2 linked regions of the Arabidopsis thaliana genome follow. The protein of the gene in region 1 interacts with the protein of each later gene in a biochemical or structural test. Each region holds a gene or a part of one and is shown on either strand. Other genes may lie near its edges.

What was found. The genes of interacting proteins can lie anywhere in the genome.
Region 2: the proteins of ATXRCC1 (region 1) and AT3G14890 form a complex in vitro, tested with the Arabidopsis thaliana proteins (one study listed by BioGRID).

The regions. Positions count from the first base shown.
Region 1 is NC_003070.9:30,234,720-30,242,738, forward strand, and holds ATXRCC1 (BRCT domain-containing DNA repair protein), read right to left. Parts: upstream 3,817-8,019; 5' UTR 3,740-3,816; intron 3,147-3,739; exon of another isoform or gene 3,065-3,146; intron 3,053-3,064; exon of another isoform or gene 2,984-3,052; 5' UTR 2,930-2,983; exon of another isoform or gene 2,487-2,929; 5' UTR 2,445-2,486; coding exon 2,256-2,444; intron 2,156-2,255; coding exon 1,967-2,155; intron 1,877-1,966; coding exon 1,765-1,876; intron 1,670-1,764; coding exon of another isoform or gene 1,620-1,669; intron 1,595-1,619; coding exon 1,509-1,594; intron 1,417-1,508; coding exon 1,303-1,416; intron 1,224-1,302; coding exon 1,137-1,223; intron 1,010-1,136; coding exon 725-1,009; 3' UTR 501-724; downstream 1-500. Other genes in the region: EMB2753 (tetratricopeptide repeat (TPR)-containing protein), read right to left, coding at 63-113; AT1G80440 (Galactose oxidase/kelch repeat superfamily protein), read left to right, coding at 7,044-8,019. UniProt on the Arabidopsis thaliana protein: Corrects defective DNA strand-break repair and sister chromatid exchange following treatment with ionizing radiation and alkylating agents.
Region 2 is NC_003074.8:5,006,171-5,015,354, reverse strand, and holds AT3G14890 (phosphoesterase), read right to left. Parts: upstream 6,680-9,184; 5' UTR 6,605-6,679; coding exon 6,254-6,604; intron 6,148-6,253; coding exon 6,085-6,147; intron 5,997-6,084; coding exon 5,715-5,996; intron 5,588-5,714; coding exon 5,522-5,587; intron 5,414-5,521; coding exon 5,285-5,413; intron 5,157-5,284; coding exon 4,863-5,156; intron 4,623-4,862; coding exon 4,560-4,622; intron 4,416-4,559; coding exon 4,338-4,415; intron 4,247-4,337; coding exon 4,178-4,246; intron 4,079-4,177; coding exon 3,995-4,078; intron 3,857-3,994; coding exon 3,800-3,856; intron 3,717-3,799; coding exon 3,640-3,716; intron 3,439-3,639; coding exon 3,357-3,438; intron 3,267-3,356; coding exon 3,150-3,266; intron 2,838-3,149; coding exon 2,704-2,837; intron 2,536-2,703; coding exon 2,466-2,535; intron 2,364-2,465; coding exon 2,295-2,363; 3' UTR 2,090-2,294; downstream 1-2,089. Other genes in the region: EMB3120 (uncharacterized protein), read left to right, coding at 78-1,913; AT3G14880 (transcription factor-like protein), read right to left, coding at 7,666-7,993, 8,384-8,790. UniProt on the Arabidopsis thaliana protein: Nick-sensing 3'-phosphoesterase involved in a base excision repair pathway required for active DNA demethylation. The N-terminal DNA-binding domain binds specifically to gap sites and sharply bends the target DNA.

The DNA.
Region 1 (8,019 bases):
TCACATCGCATGTTTAAGACAAAGTAAAAACTGAGAAAGAAAGAGAGGGAATCGGAACATACGACGATGAGCTTGAAGAGGTTGGCCTCCTTAGGAGGAAGCGAAGCCCCCATTTTATTGCGCTACTGAGAGAGCTCGCGAAGACGAAGACGGAGAAGAAGAAGAAGAAGATGTTCTTCGCGAGTTCGATAGGGTGAGAGAGAGATAGAGGTGGCGTACTATCCGCTTCAACCCTACTGCGAAACAAAGAAAGGCACAACTCTCACAAGACAAAACCCAATAAGGGTATAAATAAATTAGGGTCTTGTCTTCAATCAATCTTCTTCGATCCTAACCATATCGGTACATGTTTCCGGTTTCAATTCGTTTGTCTGATATTACAAAACGGTTATTAAATTGGATAGAACCAAACCGGTTCAAAACTGGAGACATCTGAACCTAATTGACCAAATCAAATTTGTATTAACCGATCAAATTCATCGTCAATCGACACTAAAAAGTATCAAATCAAACCGACTTATTAATTGCAACCGATTACATCTCTCAATCGAATCCAAACCAGCATAAATAAATTCTAATTAGAAACATTCTTTCCGAACCAAGCAGACCGGATTATTTCAAATTTTTATCAGTAATAACATCCTACTCAAACCGAACAAACCGAGTATAACAAGAATTCTTGGAATTCCTTAAGAGATCATATGCAAAATGAAACAAGTTTGATCTAAAGACACTCTAAAGAAACGTTCCTATAAGCAAGTTCGATCTCTTCTTCAGTCATCTCAACGGTCATATCACTGTCATAGCCACAAGCAACCCGAGAGGTCGATTCATCTTCGCCCGGTTTTGCTAGCTCAGCTTCGTAGATCTTTTTCCACGACTTTGCTTGTTTGCAAACTTCTTCCTTTGATGCTGTTGAATTTTCCTTTTTAGAAGACGATTCCATCTTTCCAAGCTCCTTCACTACACGAGGGACAAAGCTCCATAGCTCTGTAACTGATCCAATGTCCTAAAATTAAGAACATTCGAGAATAAATTCAACCAATGATCTTCTCAAAGAAACTGATCAAAGTTTAACAAATCCAAAAATGTACACAGGCGGCAACTATTATTGTTCAGACTTCAGAGATATTAACCTGCTTCTGTTCAAGAGAATCTATGGCGTCTTGTAAGCAGGTTAAGACTCCTTCCGCAGCTATTCGCTTGATTTCGCCTGGTTCTGGCTGTTACAATGGCTTTAGAATAACGGAAACATACAATCAAGAAAACATGTCTTTTGAAAGAGCATATTAATTCCCTTACTTTTTCCTCCTGACTCTCAAGCCATGAGATGGTTTGACTTAGGTCATCCCTGGCCCATTTCTTCACCTCTGTAACAAAAAATGGCTCTTTCACAAGATTGCAAGCTGATCTATTCTGTGAACATATGGAAATAAACAGTCATAGACCATTGATTGGAGCAAAATACGGTTCGTTTTGGTTAACCAAATCATCAGATTTAAACATGCCTTGGATGAGGTAGATGGTGTTCCCCTTGTTTCTGTTTTTTTCTCTACTTGCTTCTCTGGTTTTTTAGACAGGTGTTCTCTCTTTTCTGAATACAATCAATTAAGGTTCACAGAGTCAACTAAACATCGGAGTGAAGCAGTGCAATAAGAAAAGCTTTTCTCTTGTCATAAACGTAAAAACAAGGTGATTTGATGAACCTCAGGATGGTTAAAACGGAGATTCTATCTAAAGCCTTTCCAATATAATTCTTTTTACCTCGATTAGCATCTTGGGGACTACTGCTTTTCCTCCATGGTTTTCCAGCATGCATAAGGTATTGCTCGATATCTACCAACTTCTTCTGCGCATAACACTCAGTTATCCACTCCTGGAGACAGTGAAATCATATAAAATATCAGCAAAAAGGAGAAATTCAAATCCGCACACAATCCCTTATAAGAAGAGTCAAAGAGGTAACCTTTGAGATAATTGTTCCACCATTTGTTTCAACTTGACGGAACTTTGGAGTGTTAGGAAAAGCACAAATCAACAAGGTAGAGCCAGCGTTCCAGTCAGGTTGATAGGTGGCTCCCATTGTCAAGGCTTGTGACCTCAGTGTACTCCTCTCAGGATTAACAAAGCCCGAAAGTACAAAAACAACGCCTTCCTGCATAGTTTAACCTTCAACTCAATCACAAAAGCATATAAACTAACATGACAGCTTAAGATAATTGAGTCTCAACAAGACCATGAAGACACACACAAACCATAAGTTTAGAGAATTCAGTGGTATTTGAACTTGGCTCGGCGTGTTCTGACTTGTTGGAAGGGGCATTTCTACTGTTGTGCTCTTCGGTTGGTCCTTCATCCTTAGGCTTCTTACAATGAGACTTACTCGGAGTAATCTCGGGATCCCTAGAACTCATCCAAGAAGGAAGATTTCGCTTCTGAGACATCTTGTCCTTTACAGTGGAGAGAATACTAACACAGCTTTCGTCCTACAAAGAAACACTATTATGAACCTAAGCCACTAGTTACTTGAAACTCCAGGAAAATATTGCTATTGCATCGCATCTAGCACAACACAAAGCCAGAGAGAAAACGGTGCAAATCTGCAAAAAATGTAAAACATTCCCTAAGAAAGACAAATCTTAATACAAACGAATGGTATAACCTTTTTTCAATTTCAACATAAAAAAATCAATGGACAATGGTTTTAACATAACTCAGTAGCACTGAATTTGAATTCGAGTTCAGATCAAATCACACTGGAAAATTGGAATTGAATACCAAAAAAAAAAAAAAAAAAAAAAAGAAGAAAGACATTGCAATTAACAGAACATCGCGAACTTCGCCATAAAACCCTCGAAAACTAAATCTACCCATGTAAATGAGCCAACACAGAGGAGAAGACTATAAACTTGAGAAGAAAGCGAGGAACCTTTAAGTGCTAGCGCTCCCCCCGTGGCTTCTCTTTGATCGAAATCATCAGAGACTATTCAATTTGTCAACATACAGTACAAAATCAGATCAAAATGACGGGTTTTCAATTTAACAAATGATTCAACTAGCAAAGGTGGACGTGCCGGAGTGGTTATCGGGCATGACTAGAAATCATGTGGGCTTTGCCCGCGCAGGTTCGAATCCTGCCGTTCACGCTTTTTTTTACCAATTTTTTGCTTTGACTCTTTCATTCGCGTTTTTACTCTTCTGCCCTTTTTTCTTTTTTTTTGGACATCAACTTGTCTGCCCTTTTAGGATTTCTAATGTTTCATTTTTACGGTGGAGGGGGTTTATGAATTAAAAGAAGTACAAAACCAAGGTCAAATTACCATTACTAAATCATTCCTCGTTTCAATCTTTTTTTCCTAAGTTAGCTCAGTCAAATCCTTCGTATACCTACAATGAGCTCGATGAATTAGACTTAATGCACTGGAGAAGCTAAAGCTTGCAAGGGGAGGAAACATCCTATTTCTTCTGAAATATATCGTATGCTTGTCCATATCATTGATGTCATGATGTGTCATGTCTCATATTCTCGTAACATCCGCAACACAAACCCATCATATATGCTTTTATCTTATCTTTCTCTCGTTGTGTTGTTGTTTTTGCTACAACACAATTCCAGGACTAAGTTTCTGAATATCAATGAGTCTAAACATGTCAAAATTAAACTACGTCTTCACTTTGTCTTTAACGTACCTTTCTTTGATGAAAAAATGAAAAAAAAGTTATAAAAAAAATAACGTACCCTTCTTTAACCGCAAACTGTTTTTGGACTTTTGAACCCATTTCCGAAATTTCAGGGCTTCTTTTCTTCAAAGTTACGTAGTACGTACTAATAATAAGCCATCGTCACGACTCACGTGGTTACTAAATAAGATATGCTTATAAAAGGATTCAATATATTCAATGGCTTTGGCACGTTCTGTCCTCGCTTGACTTAAGCCATGTTAATTTGACCGTTGTGTTGTCGTTGGTCTGTTCGACGCTATCAATATAAAAAAATGTGTTTTATTAGCTAAATTCAGTTGATTTATCATACTCTGTGCTTTCCCTCTCGCTCACTTTATATATATCGAAGAGTATTGAATCATCTTGATTTTCTTATTTCATTACCATTCAACATTAAATCATGTTGTCAAAATTTATTTCCAAAAAATGACATGAAACCTCGAGCAAACCCTTAAAAAAAAAAAGGTAGATAAGTTGATGTTAGTATATGATGATGAGGATGAATGAAAATAGATATTCCGCGCACTTATAAAAAAAGAAATACAATTACTGGCAGTAGAAGATACGAAGTCCACATCAGCTACCGGATAACTATCATAATGGATATGGAAAAGGACGTAAAAATAAATACCAAAGGAAACTTCATGAGCTTATCCTGTCTGTATGTACGAGAGCTGTTTTATTTGATGTCGACCGCATGAATATCCAAATGATCTATTGCATGTCTTCGTAACAATTTGATCCCTACCATTAATTAATATGCAAAATAATAATGCATATATGATGAAGACGTCGAGTGCCTAATAGAAAGATGCGGCGAGTCAAACTATCTTTTGAGACATATATACTGTTTAGCTATATATCTTTTCAAATGAACATTTTCCTATGTAATTGGCCAGCGTTTTCTGCGGTGCCAAAGCTCATATTCTCTCGATCATCTAACTGTAAACCTTATTACTTAGCTCTGGCAGATGTTATTATCTTTGCCGGTTTGCTTCGAGGCTTTGTGCTTCTAATTTAATCAAGTGTCGACATAATTGGAAAAAAAAACGAGTAAAATGCAAATAAATAACGATCACATATATAAAGAAGTAATTAAACTCTTTTGGCTAGTTATTTCGTGTGTTCTTCGTTTTTTTCCAATTTGCTTGGCGAATTTTCTTGTGAAGAAAATACTTGTTAAGAGATTTGAATAATTGAACGCGACCAAAGAAGAGTATGAGAATTGAAAATATCGACACGAACATTGATGAAGTGGGTCCAACACTCCCAGTACCAGTCTATTCGGGCTATTCCTATCTACGAAGAATCGGATTGCTTCCGTCGTTTATTGTTTAGATTTATCAAAGAGCCAGCCACCCGACGAATCACGACGACTCTTCTTCCCCCCTTTAAGGATGTTGACACCGTGTCGTTTTGTCACCTTATAGAGTTATAGTCATTCAGACGCCGTGCCGTTTTATCAGTTAGAGTTATTTTCTTCATGTTGAACCTTTTTTTGTCAGCCCGTTTTATCCCACGTTGAAGTTTCAATTAGCTTATTTTAAAAAATATTAGATCGGAGTATCTTTTGTCTAATTAACCAAAACTCCAAGTTACTACATTTATATGCAAATACATGAATGGGTCATAGTAATCACAAAACTATTGTTTTAATAAACCAAATATATGCGTTAAAGATGTTTACAGCTTTATACATATGGCGGACACTAGAACTAGTCCAACCTGCATGGAACATGCTACTAATTCCCTAAATATTGTATTATTCCGTATTCAATTTTGTACAGCTACGAAAAATAGAGTATTGTACATAAATGTCCATACGTTACAGATTAAATTAGTAAGCAAAAATGCTTTGATTAACGAGTATACGCTTTTGAGTACGGAGACAACATTTCGTTTCTTTATGTCACACGCGTTAAGAAGTTTAATAAAGATCATATATAATTACGACAAATATCTGTATATATTGTAGCTATATTTATAAAAACATATAACTTTGGTCATCGGTAATAGTTTAAAGATGTCGAGTATCAATACAGATTTAAATATGGCCGACCAAAGATAGACACACACATACAGACAACAACAAGCCAAATAAGAATCAAATAAATTTTTGTCAAAAAAAAGGGAAATTCTACAAGTGAAATTAGAGAAATTATCTAGAAGGATTTTAGAGGAAAGACTCCAAGGCATTAGTCTTTGAGCTGGATTTGGATTTCATTTTAATAAAACATAAATTAATCTTTAAACGCTATTATGTGCTTGGATTATGTACCACATAATGCGAAGGAAACATCTTTGTAGTTTTGCGTTCTTCATATAATAATATTTTGCCGTCGTGTATGTGTAGTATACATATATTCATCACTTTAGTATACAAGTTGCCACAAAGTTCTGTTGTTTATAATAAAACCAAAAAAAAAGAACAAGTTCTGTTGTTTATAATAAAACCAAAAAAAAAAAAAACAAGTTCTGTTGTTTGGAATTAGGAGATCGATTTAAATTTTTACAAAGCAAAAGGGTGTGTGTGGTCCGATTAATATTTTAGTATATGAGAAAAAGAAAGGGTGTGATCTAAATTATAGATTCAGAAGGTCCATTCAAAAAGTACAGTCTTTTATGTGTAGGTTTTAAGTTTTTTCATTATTCTTAAACGAACAAATGATAGATTAATTTTATTCTGTTTTTTGTTGTGCGCACTAGTAAGTGTATACTCTATAGCATTAGATAGAAAACAGAGTAACATGTCAAAACAACATCCAAAATCTAAAATCAGTATTAGTCGAAAGGCCTAATTCGATATTCGGTAGTATATTTTACCGTCTATGTTTAGATATATAATCTGTTGTTGACTGGAATTCGAATGCTAAATTACTAAACCTGACCAGAAAAATATCAGGAGAAAATGAACTTGGATATGACATCCATCAACTTGTCCCAATTGGTCCAAAGTCTCCATCTTTAAATACAAGACACAACCATTAACCGTTTTTGCCCATACTAACTCAAATTCCGTTATCTTCATTTTATTTGATTTAAACTATAAAATATACAACACAAAAATTATATTAAAAAAAGAAAGAAACGATGAATGAATCAACAAGTTTTCTAGAAACACTTATCTTCAAATATCTATAAAGCGGCACACTCTCCTCTTTCCCATCATCATCATCATCTTCTTCAACCTTGTCTCGATCCAAAATTTCATCTTTTACCAAAACTATTACAATATCCCTCACTCTACTTGTAAAGCTTCAATCTTCTTCACTTCTCAACAAACAGATAAACAAAAAGCTTCAATCTTTGATACTTTCTCGATGGAACTTATCCCCAATCTTCCCGACGACGTTGCTCGCGAGTGTCTCCTTCGCTCCTCCTACCAACAGTTCCCTGTCATCGCCTCCGTTTGCAGAGCCTGGAACCGTGAAGTCTCTCTCTCTCAGTTTTTACATCAGCGAAAAGCTTCACGCCATAGCCAAGAGCTTCTTATTCTGTCTCAGGCTCGTGTCGACCCCGCTGGATCCGGAAAGATCATCGCTACGCCTGAATACCGGATCTCTGTTCTCGAATCCGGGTCGGGTCTTTGGACGGAGCTTCCTCCGATTCCTGGTCAAACCAAAGGACTTCCTCTGTTCTGCAGATTGGTTTCCGTTGGATCCGATCTTATTGTCTTGGGTGGGCTTGACCCGATTACGTGGCAGGCCCATGATTCGGTATTCGTCTTCAGTTTTCTCACTTCCAAATGGCGCGTGGGGGCAACCATGCCAGGTGTACGGAGGTCCTTCTTCGGATGCGCTTCGGATTCGGATCGGACGGTGCTGGTTGCGGGTGGACACAACGAAGAGAAATGTGCGCTTACGTCAGCTATGGTGTATGACGTGTCAGAAGACAAGTGGACGTTTTTGCCGGATATGGCGCGGGAACGAGACGAGTGCAAAGCGGTATTCCATGCTGGCAGATTCCACGTCATCGGTGGATATGCCACTGAGGAACAGGGGCAGTTTAGTAAAACAGCCGAATCGTTCGATGTGTCTACGTGGGAGTGGGGTCCACTTACGGAGGACTTCCTCGACGACACCGGCGATACCGTTAGCCCTCCGACCTGCGTCGCCGGTGGGGATTTGTACGCGTGCTGGGGTGGCGATGTGATGATGTTTCTAAATGACAAGTGGCAAAAGGTGGGCCAGATCCCTGCTGATGTGTACAATGTTACTTACGTAGCGGTGAGGCCCGGGATGCTGATTGTGATCGGCAACGGGAAGGCGTTGGCTGGATACGGTGAAGCCACCGTAG
Region 2 (9,184 bases), on another chromosome or scaffold:
TAGCAAAACGCCGTCGTATCGTTTGGCTTATATTATTACAGTTGCTACGTCATCTCTAAGCTGTGTCGGGAGAAGAAATGCTGAGTCAAGATTTATCCTTTTCTAAAACCCTGAACCCTAGCTTTTCCTTCCGTAAATCTCCACTCAATTCCGGGGTACGAAGGATCGTTTCGGTTTTACCGGCAATTACCGAGAGGAATTATGCGTTTAGTGTCAAAAGGTCGGAGCTTTTGCTCAGAGAAGATGGTGGATTCCGGCGAGACGTGCGGGCATTGGCCGGGAGGAGCAAGAAAAAGCTTGGAGGAGGTTCATCTGGTGGAAGGATAGAAGGAGATTCGGATATGAGGAAGCAGGTGAAGAGGAATGCTCGTGAAAAGTCGAAGAAGCTAGCGGAATCTTTGTTTTATAGATTGTATAATAACCCTGACAAGAGTCGGAGTCAGATTCTCAGTAGTCATCCGGATAAGTTTACTGAGGAGGAGCTTGAGATGATTGGGCTTGGTTACGATAGGATGGTTCGGTTTATGGATAAGGATGACCCGAGATTGCGTCATCCTTATGATTGGTTCAAGTATGGAGAGTTTGGACCTTACTCGTGGCGTGGTGTTGTGGTTGGTGATCCGGTTCGTGGTACTATCTCTGATGAGTGTGTTACTATGATTGGTGAAGTGGAGAATCATGAAGAGTTTGAGAAGATTGAGCAGCATGAGATGAATATAGCTTTTCAGAAGAGGGTTAAGGAGTTGGATTCGAATGTTGGTTTGAGGTATTTTTGGGTGTTTGTCAGGCATCCGAAATGGAGACTCAGTGAGTTACCGTGGGAGCAATGGACGTTGGTTAGTGAAGTGGTTGTGGAAGCGGATAAGAAGCAGAGGTTGGATAAGTGGAATTTGATGGGGAGATTAGGGAACAAGTCTCGGTCTTTGATATGTCAATGTGCGGCTTGGTTTAGACCTGATATTGTGTATGTGAAGAAGCCTGTGTTTCAGTGTAGGTTTGAGCCTCAAGAAGATTTCTTTAACTCGCTTATCCCTTATTTAAACCCGGTGACGGAATCTGGATTTGTGTGTGAAGTGGAGGATGATGAAGGTAGAGTGGAGTTGAGTACTTATTACGGAGGATTGTGTAAGATGTTGAAGGTGAGACAGACAGCTTTCGTGGATGATGTGGTGAATGCTTATGAGAAGTTGAGTGATGAAAAGAAGTCCAGAGTGTTGAAGTTCTTGCTTGGAAACCACCCGAACGAGCTGTTGCATCCGTATACAAAAGAATGGAAAGCAAAGTTGGAGGAGATGGAGTTAGGGTGTGATGCTCCAGATGAAGATGAGGATGAGATTAGCATTAGTGGAAGCTCAGAGAAGGCTGAGTTCTCAGAATGGATTGAAGATGAAGCTGACAATGACGATGATGATGATGATGATGATGATGATGATGGTGAGGTGGAAGAAGTAGATGATGATGATAACATGGTTGTCGATGTGGAGGGAAACGTTGAAGAAGACAGTTTGGAAGATGAAATAGAGGAGTCGGATCCGGAAGAGGATGAGAGGTACTGGGAAGAGCAATTCAACAAAGCGACAAACAATGCGGAGCGGATGGAGAAGCTTGCGGAGATGAGTATGGTGGTGTCAGATAAGTTTTATGAGAAGCAGTTAAAGGCATTGGAGGAACGAGAAAAGGGAGAGATTGAAGGAGATGAGTTGGAAATGAGAGGTAAGAAGGCAAAAGTGAAGCCAGAAGAATGGAAGACAGTAGGATATGGAAGGTGGATGAAGAAGATAAAGAAGAGTAGGATTCCACCTGAGCTCTTTCTCCGTGCTGCTGTTAGGCCCTTTGTTTACAGAAACCTTGTCAAAGAGATTGTTCTGACAAGACACGCCATTTTGGAAGGCGAGATTGGTCAGAAGGAGTGATTTCATGTCTGAGTCTTCTGATTAAAGAGTGAAAAGGAGAGTGAATTTTTGATGTATGTTATTAGCATCATAAGAGATTTTAAACTTTCCCAATCCCATGTATGTAAATGAGTCGGAAATTTGAACTTTTTTTGTTATCAGTGGTTTGTTATGTTGACTTTGCAATCCTGCCTGTTCAAAGGAGTTTCTTTTTCCTGGTTCAATAAGCTCTAGTTGACGCTTAAATATCAGTAATATACAAAAAGAGTTAAAACACATACTAATACTTTGATCACAAAAGCACACTACTAGTTTTATCACAAAAGCTAGCTACTAGTTTCATCACAAAAAAAAAAGCAAAAGAAGTTGCAAACTGCAAACACAAGCACAAGACTGATACAGCTAAGTCCCTGGCGATGTACTTGAGGGGATAAAGTATTCCTCCGGGGTAAAAAACTTTAGCCCACTCGCCTGCAACCAAAGAAAGTAGTTGTCTATGAGGAAAGTCAGAAAAGTAAATAGGGTGACTTATAAAATAAAGGATGGGTATTGTCTGACGTTTGCAATAAATACCTGTGCAAATTTGATGTCAGCGTCGCTGTGATCCATTTTTCTTCCAGCTGCATCCCCAACGTAGAAGGATCTGATGAGCATAGCACAGATGTCAGTATCAACAACAAAAAATGTGCTAGTGGACTTAAACGGAGTGTTTAATCAGTAAGGCTGGTGGACAAATGAGTGTAATCTTCCAGCATTGCTAGAAGTTTCAGGTAAATTCAAGTTTTTAGGAGCAGGTGGGGAGAAAACTAACTTATCCATATCAATTGCAATTCCAGAGTTAAAATGCTTCTTCATGAGTTGCCACATTCCAGCCTTGGGTTTGCGGTAAAGGTCATCTTTACCACCTTTACCACCAGAACTTGAGACTCCACAGGCTATAAACACCTGTTTGCAGAACAAAACCATTTATAATCTTCACAGTATCAGCAACAATGTAGGGAATTGGCACTTTTAAGACTTTGAAAATTTGGGGTGTTAACTAATAAGAACAAGCAAGACAGAATCACTATTTTCTCTCTGATTATACCTATACGCCGGAACAAATCATTAAAGCCATATGAACTAAGTACAGAACAAGGCATTGAATACATCATAGTTTCTTATCATTACTCATAATAATAGCTAGGGTTTGTTGACACAGTGTTCTTGAATAGATACAATCACGTTCTTACTTATGAAAACGGAAGAGCACTTAACCTGAATGGGGACCTTCACGCGCTCGATAAAACTGTTGAGCCGTCCAATTTTCGAATCTACAGCAGCTTGCCGCTTGTTCTTCCATCGATCAATGTTGGATTCATTTGTGAAAATGACCTGTTGAACATTTAAAATCAGCTACTCTATAATCTATATAAACAATACTATTGAGTACCTAAGACTTAATTCTAGCTGAAAATAAAATACCAGCTTATAGCCTTGATCGTGCAGACTTTGCAGTTTCTCAGGAATGGAAGGATACATTAGGGACCATGCATCTGCCCCTACTCTGAGAAAGAAGGGAATATAAAACATTATGACACATTACAATGTTTCTCATTTTCCTTGAAAGACGAGGTTCGTGCATAACACCATTAAAAGGATAAACAAAAATTGCAGAAATGCAATCACTTGAGATAGAATGAAAAGCCCATATGTCCATAAAAACAGAGAACACACTAATATTATGGGTGACCAAAGAGCTACTTACATTTTCACAGATGTTTTTGCAAGGCATCCATCAAAGTCAAATGCAGCTATTTTTTCTGAATCATTAAGACCATCATCCTGTTAAAATGCAACAAAGGAACATACCATTAGGCCATAATATATTACCATCATGTACATCATATCTGAAGATGATTTCTCACCCGCTCAAGGAATATAACTGTCTCAAAAGCTTTCCATTTTGGTAATAGATTGGCATCCTGAGAAACAAGAAGATTAGCAGCCAGAAAAATAAAAGAACTCGAAAAAGGGATCAAATGCCAAAGCTACAAACTCCAAGAAGAATATTTAACACAGGAATACATGGCTTTAACCTACTAGACACTATAAGTGCTTACCCTGTACTTATCCTTCACATCAGACGCTGAAAGAGTGATTTCTGCTTCAACCTCGACCTGAGAAGTTGACTCACTCATGTTCACCTGCATAACACAATATTTTAAAATCATTAAGTATAATTTCTCCACAATGAAGAGTGGCTACCATTAGAAGGTATTCAATACTTATCATTGCTTGTATACCTTATGTGTTTTAGCCATCTGTTGTTTCGCTTTAGTTAGCGATTCATCTTCTTCCACCATCTCCCCAACCTTTATAAGAAACAATAAATTACAGGTCAAGGAATATTCCAGTTTAACAAAATTATAGTATAAAAAGATGTGATTATTGCTATTTATTAACCTCAGAATGTTTTCTTTTGTTTGTCTCCTCAGTTAGCTTAATTTTAGCTTCAGTGTCATCATTATCTTCATCCATCTTCTGCAATCCCGCAACGAAATGAAGTAAGAAGTTAGTTTAGACATAAATTCTAAAATTATTTTCTGGTTAAGACATGATAAAACTTTTAAACAGAATGCTTTCGCCAAAGAAAACAAATATTATGAAAAGGGGATTTGCTATTACATCTACCAAAGTCTGCTTCCCGCATTGTTGGACCAATTCCTTTAATGCATCCTGATCACCACTCTGTTTATAATTAAAAATAAATCAAATATAAAGATGTGTTAGCAGAAACAAGGAATACATACATGTTTGGGTGTTAATTTTGCACGACACTGACAACGATGTCATGCCAACCTGACAATAAATTAACTATATACCAACATCTATATTCCAAATAGCATCTGTTTCAAATGATCCTAGTTACCAGAAGATACATGAATAATCTAGAAGCTCTATCCCCTGAATCTTTAAATACAGACTAACCTGCAGTTCTGAAAATCCACCAATGTCCTCTACCGAAACAATTGGATCAGAGTCGACAGGAAAACAACCCAAGTGATGCCATTGTTTCATATCAAAGCCACGGAAGTTTCTGGTCACTAGCCCCAACCTCAGTTCCTTTGCAGCGATAGTCTGAGAGCACTTCTTGCATGTTGATCTGCTCGATTTCGCATACTCAGAAATAACTTTTGAAGAATCAGGAGAATTTTTCACATCCTTAGTCTTCTGCTCACTTATTTCATCTGATGCAGGCTTTTTACTCTCTTCATCCTCATCCTTAACCGATACAAGCAGTTAAAAGAAGTATTTCAGTCAAAAATCTACATCTAGGTTGGAAAATAAGACTGAAGTCTGCATATCATTTCTTCCTCGCATAAAAGAAGATTGTTGCTTCCAGAACTTACTTCTTTTGCAGGCTCGCCAGGTTGTTCCACCAATTTTGCAACAGGAGAATGTTTTCCTTTTTTGGTCTCCTCCGTTAGCTCATTATCAGCTATAGCTTCATCATCACCTTCATCCATCTTCTGGACATCCTGCCAGCAAAGGAAGTAAGAAGTTAGTTTCAAAAAGCCTGAAATGGTAAAGTTCTCTACATTTGCAGAAACAGACTATAATATTATGACAAGGGATATGGATAGTACATCTATCAAAGTTTTATCCTTCTTGTTTACTTCGGCCAAATACTTTAATTCCATCTGGTCACCTTTCTGTTGAGTATGACAAATGAATCAAATAAAAAAGATATTGTTAGCGAAGTTACCACATGTCATATGCAATCATCCAAAAGCTCTATACACTGAACTGAAAATTCCTAATATGTAAACAAAAACTAACCTCAAGCGATGAATATCCACCAATGTCCTCCACAGAATCAATTGGATGAAAATCAATGGGAAAACAACCCAAGTGATGCCATCTTGTTATATCAAATCCCCTGGAGTCTTCAGTAACCAGCCCCACTCTCAGATCCTTTGAAACGATTGTCTGAGAACACCTGTTGCATGATGATCTGCTCGATTTCGCATTATCAGCAATAACTTTTGAAGATGTTGCCGCCTTCGTAAGCCCCTTCGGCCCCATTATATGCTTTTTAGCCTTCCCCTTCTTCTCATCAGGCTGCTTTAAGTTTAAACCGATACAAGCAGTTAGGCAAAAGTAGATATGAGCAAATGAGACTAAAGAGCATCACTTTCCAAAGTCTTACTTTTTTTGCAGGTACTTTACCACATTGTTCCACCAATTTCGTCAAAGCATCTTGATCTTCTTTCTGTAACCATAAGCACAAGCGTTAACACAAATAACCGAAAGTGAAAAGCTTTAGACGAAAAAAAACCTAGGGAGTCCAAAATACAGAAATGTAAGGAAACCCTAACCTCTAAAGCGGATAAGCCTTGAATATCATCAACGGAAGCAATCGACTCAGAATCAGTCGGAAAACAATCGAAATGGTGCCACCTGGTCATGTCAACCCCGCCACGTCCTTTGCTAATCAACCCTAACCTAAGCGATTTCACAGCTATCTTGTTCGAACATGACCTACACGACGACCGATTCGACTTCGCGTACTCAGCAACCACCGGCATTGTTTTCGCCGTTGTTCTCAAAATGTGACAGGTGTTGTAGACGAGATACTGTGTTCTTTCTCGGAAAAAGAGAGTGGAGCGATTTATTATATAAAGAGGGAACTGGAAACGAAGAGACACGAAGGGGGCTACTGTAATCATATAGCCATTGGTGGGGAATCGAGAAAAAAGGTGATTAGGGTTCAGTTCACGTTCCCGCCATTCTCGAAAGTAGAGTCTGTCGGTAAATTGATGTCGGTCATAGGGGTATAAATGTAAAACACAAATATATGCGTTAGTTTGGGCCAAATCTCAGTGTCTCCTCTTTTCCTCTTTCATTGGGCTTATTTGGGCTTTAAAGGCCTAACAAGACACGTTTTTATAATACAGTTTTAAAAAAAAAAAACAGGTTTACTAGCATATTAAATAAAAATGAAACGAAATAAACAAAAAAAATTGTGACACATCTTCAACCAATCAAAACCGCTATAATCGTTTTTAGGTCTCTTCTCAGTTTTTCTTGTCGTTCTGTTGTCACCAAAGCATTATATAAAAGGGCTGATAGTATTTTTATAAAGGGTCTAGCTAGTTTAAGTTCAATATTTTAGAAAATATATAAAACTTACACGAAAATAAACATTATAAGAGCAAATTTATGTAAGAAGAAATTTGTCATGTCATCATATCTTTCGATTAAAAATGAGATTCTTTCGAAGAAGAATCTTAAAACTAAACCAAACAAAATGTTTGGAATCGACACCGTGATAGGAGGACGCGTACCACACCAAGTGTCCTCTTGCATGTCTTCAAGAGACATGGCAGTGCCACGTTCACTTCATGTCTTTTTCTGTAGCTGACTTTTTGTTTTCTGTTTATCCACTTGGTCTATAGAAACCAACAATGACCCATGTCCCCGATTCTCTGTCTTTAGTATTTTTTATATACAAACTATCAGAAGCCCCAATAAGGTCCGATAATTACCTCATAAAAAAAATCAAACACACAAAATTCTAACTAAAAAAGGTAAACTAACAAGCACCACACGTGGGTTGATCTTTATTGCAACCGTAGAGACATAACATATGAGTTTTTTTTGTTTTCATAACCATGTAAAACCAAACTCAGTCTGGATAACCAAAAACATGGTAAAAACATATAATTAATATCCAAAAACTATTTTTCTTCCTCGATTCTCATTACCTTTAGACCGGTTTTAGTTAGCTTTAAACTTCGGAACTTCGACGACGGTCGTGGCTAGTCCCCCAACCAGCAACGCCTGTACGAAGCTCAGCCGCAGCGACAAGAAACTCCGCTTGTTGGAGCGGACTCAAGACCTCCACCACACGTGTGATCGTTCTCAGTCGCAGATCATCAGTTCGGTGGACGATTTCTGCTAGCCGTCGGATCCTCTGGTCGGGATCTGACGATGTCCCCATGACAAGGTCACTCGCATCGTCTTGCCACTCCGACAACTCTTCCGTTATCGCATTCTCTTCCTTCACGGTCTCACATTGTAGCTCACTTACCGTCCTGCCTTTGACAAATGGAACCCTAAATATTAAATATTAAGTAATCAAAATATGTTTAGTTAGTCCATATGTTATTGTTTACACATTGAAAAAAAAGAAAGTAAAATAAGTGTTTTAATCTCTCAAATTTATTGTTATCCCTCAAATGTGTTTTTCACTTTCTAAAACATTTTTGGTAAGAAAAGTAAACAAATAAACATCGTATGTTCTAAACTAATCTACATATTTGATATCTCTAGGTGTAGGAGTGAACCTGTATTAGTTTTGGTAAACAATAACACGCGCAAATCACGATATTACTTCAATCAAATTACAACGTAACTTAAGGATATTTTATTAAATTAGATAAAAAAATCTTTACTAGTAGTTGTGATTAGTAAACAAAGTAGCTAATTAGGGGTTCGTGTAGAACCTGAACTGAGAAGGGGAGAGATCACTGAGATCACCGGTGCGAAAGCCACGAAGTATATCAACGATACGAGACTCAAATAAAATACTCGACTCAGTGTAAACCAGATGGAACAAGGTGGTTGGTCGCCAACCACCGACCCACTGAAGCGACCGTTCAAGAGCTGAAGCCCAAGGAGAAGCCATAACTTCGATGACGTCTTTATCCGTCGCAGCCCACTTGGCCCTGTGATATTCTCTAAAGTGTTCCATCACTCTGTCCACAGCCTCCCTTAACCGTTCCTCATCACCGGTAGCAGAGTTCCGGTGATGGTTTTGGGCGGAGCGGAGGTGGTTCAGGTGGTTTCGTAGCTGCTCGATCCATGACTGTTGGAATTTCTTGAAGCTTGCTATCGCTGTCTCTTGGCTCATATTTTGGGTCCTCCGTAGTGTTTGGGATGGTCGAACCAATTTTTATATTGTCTATATTATGCTTTTATATTATCTTTTTTTTGTTCACCGACTTTCTTATTGTATCAACGTTCACATTTTGATTTTTTTTCATTTTTTTCCTAAAATTCTAGAAATGCCTATCATTTATTGTCCGGTCAAAGATAAAGTAAAGTTTTATCGCTTTGTAGAATGTTTCAATCTCTTTTTAGGTGCCAAATTTTTGTAAACTGTATTTCTCAACTATTTCAGTTGACAATATAACATTGGCCGTTTTGTAATAAGAATGCAGGGGTAAAATGGCTGGTTTGGTCTCAGTTTGTCATAACCCATTACAAGTAGAACAAAACCGAGTCAATTCCCACTGATCCTGATA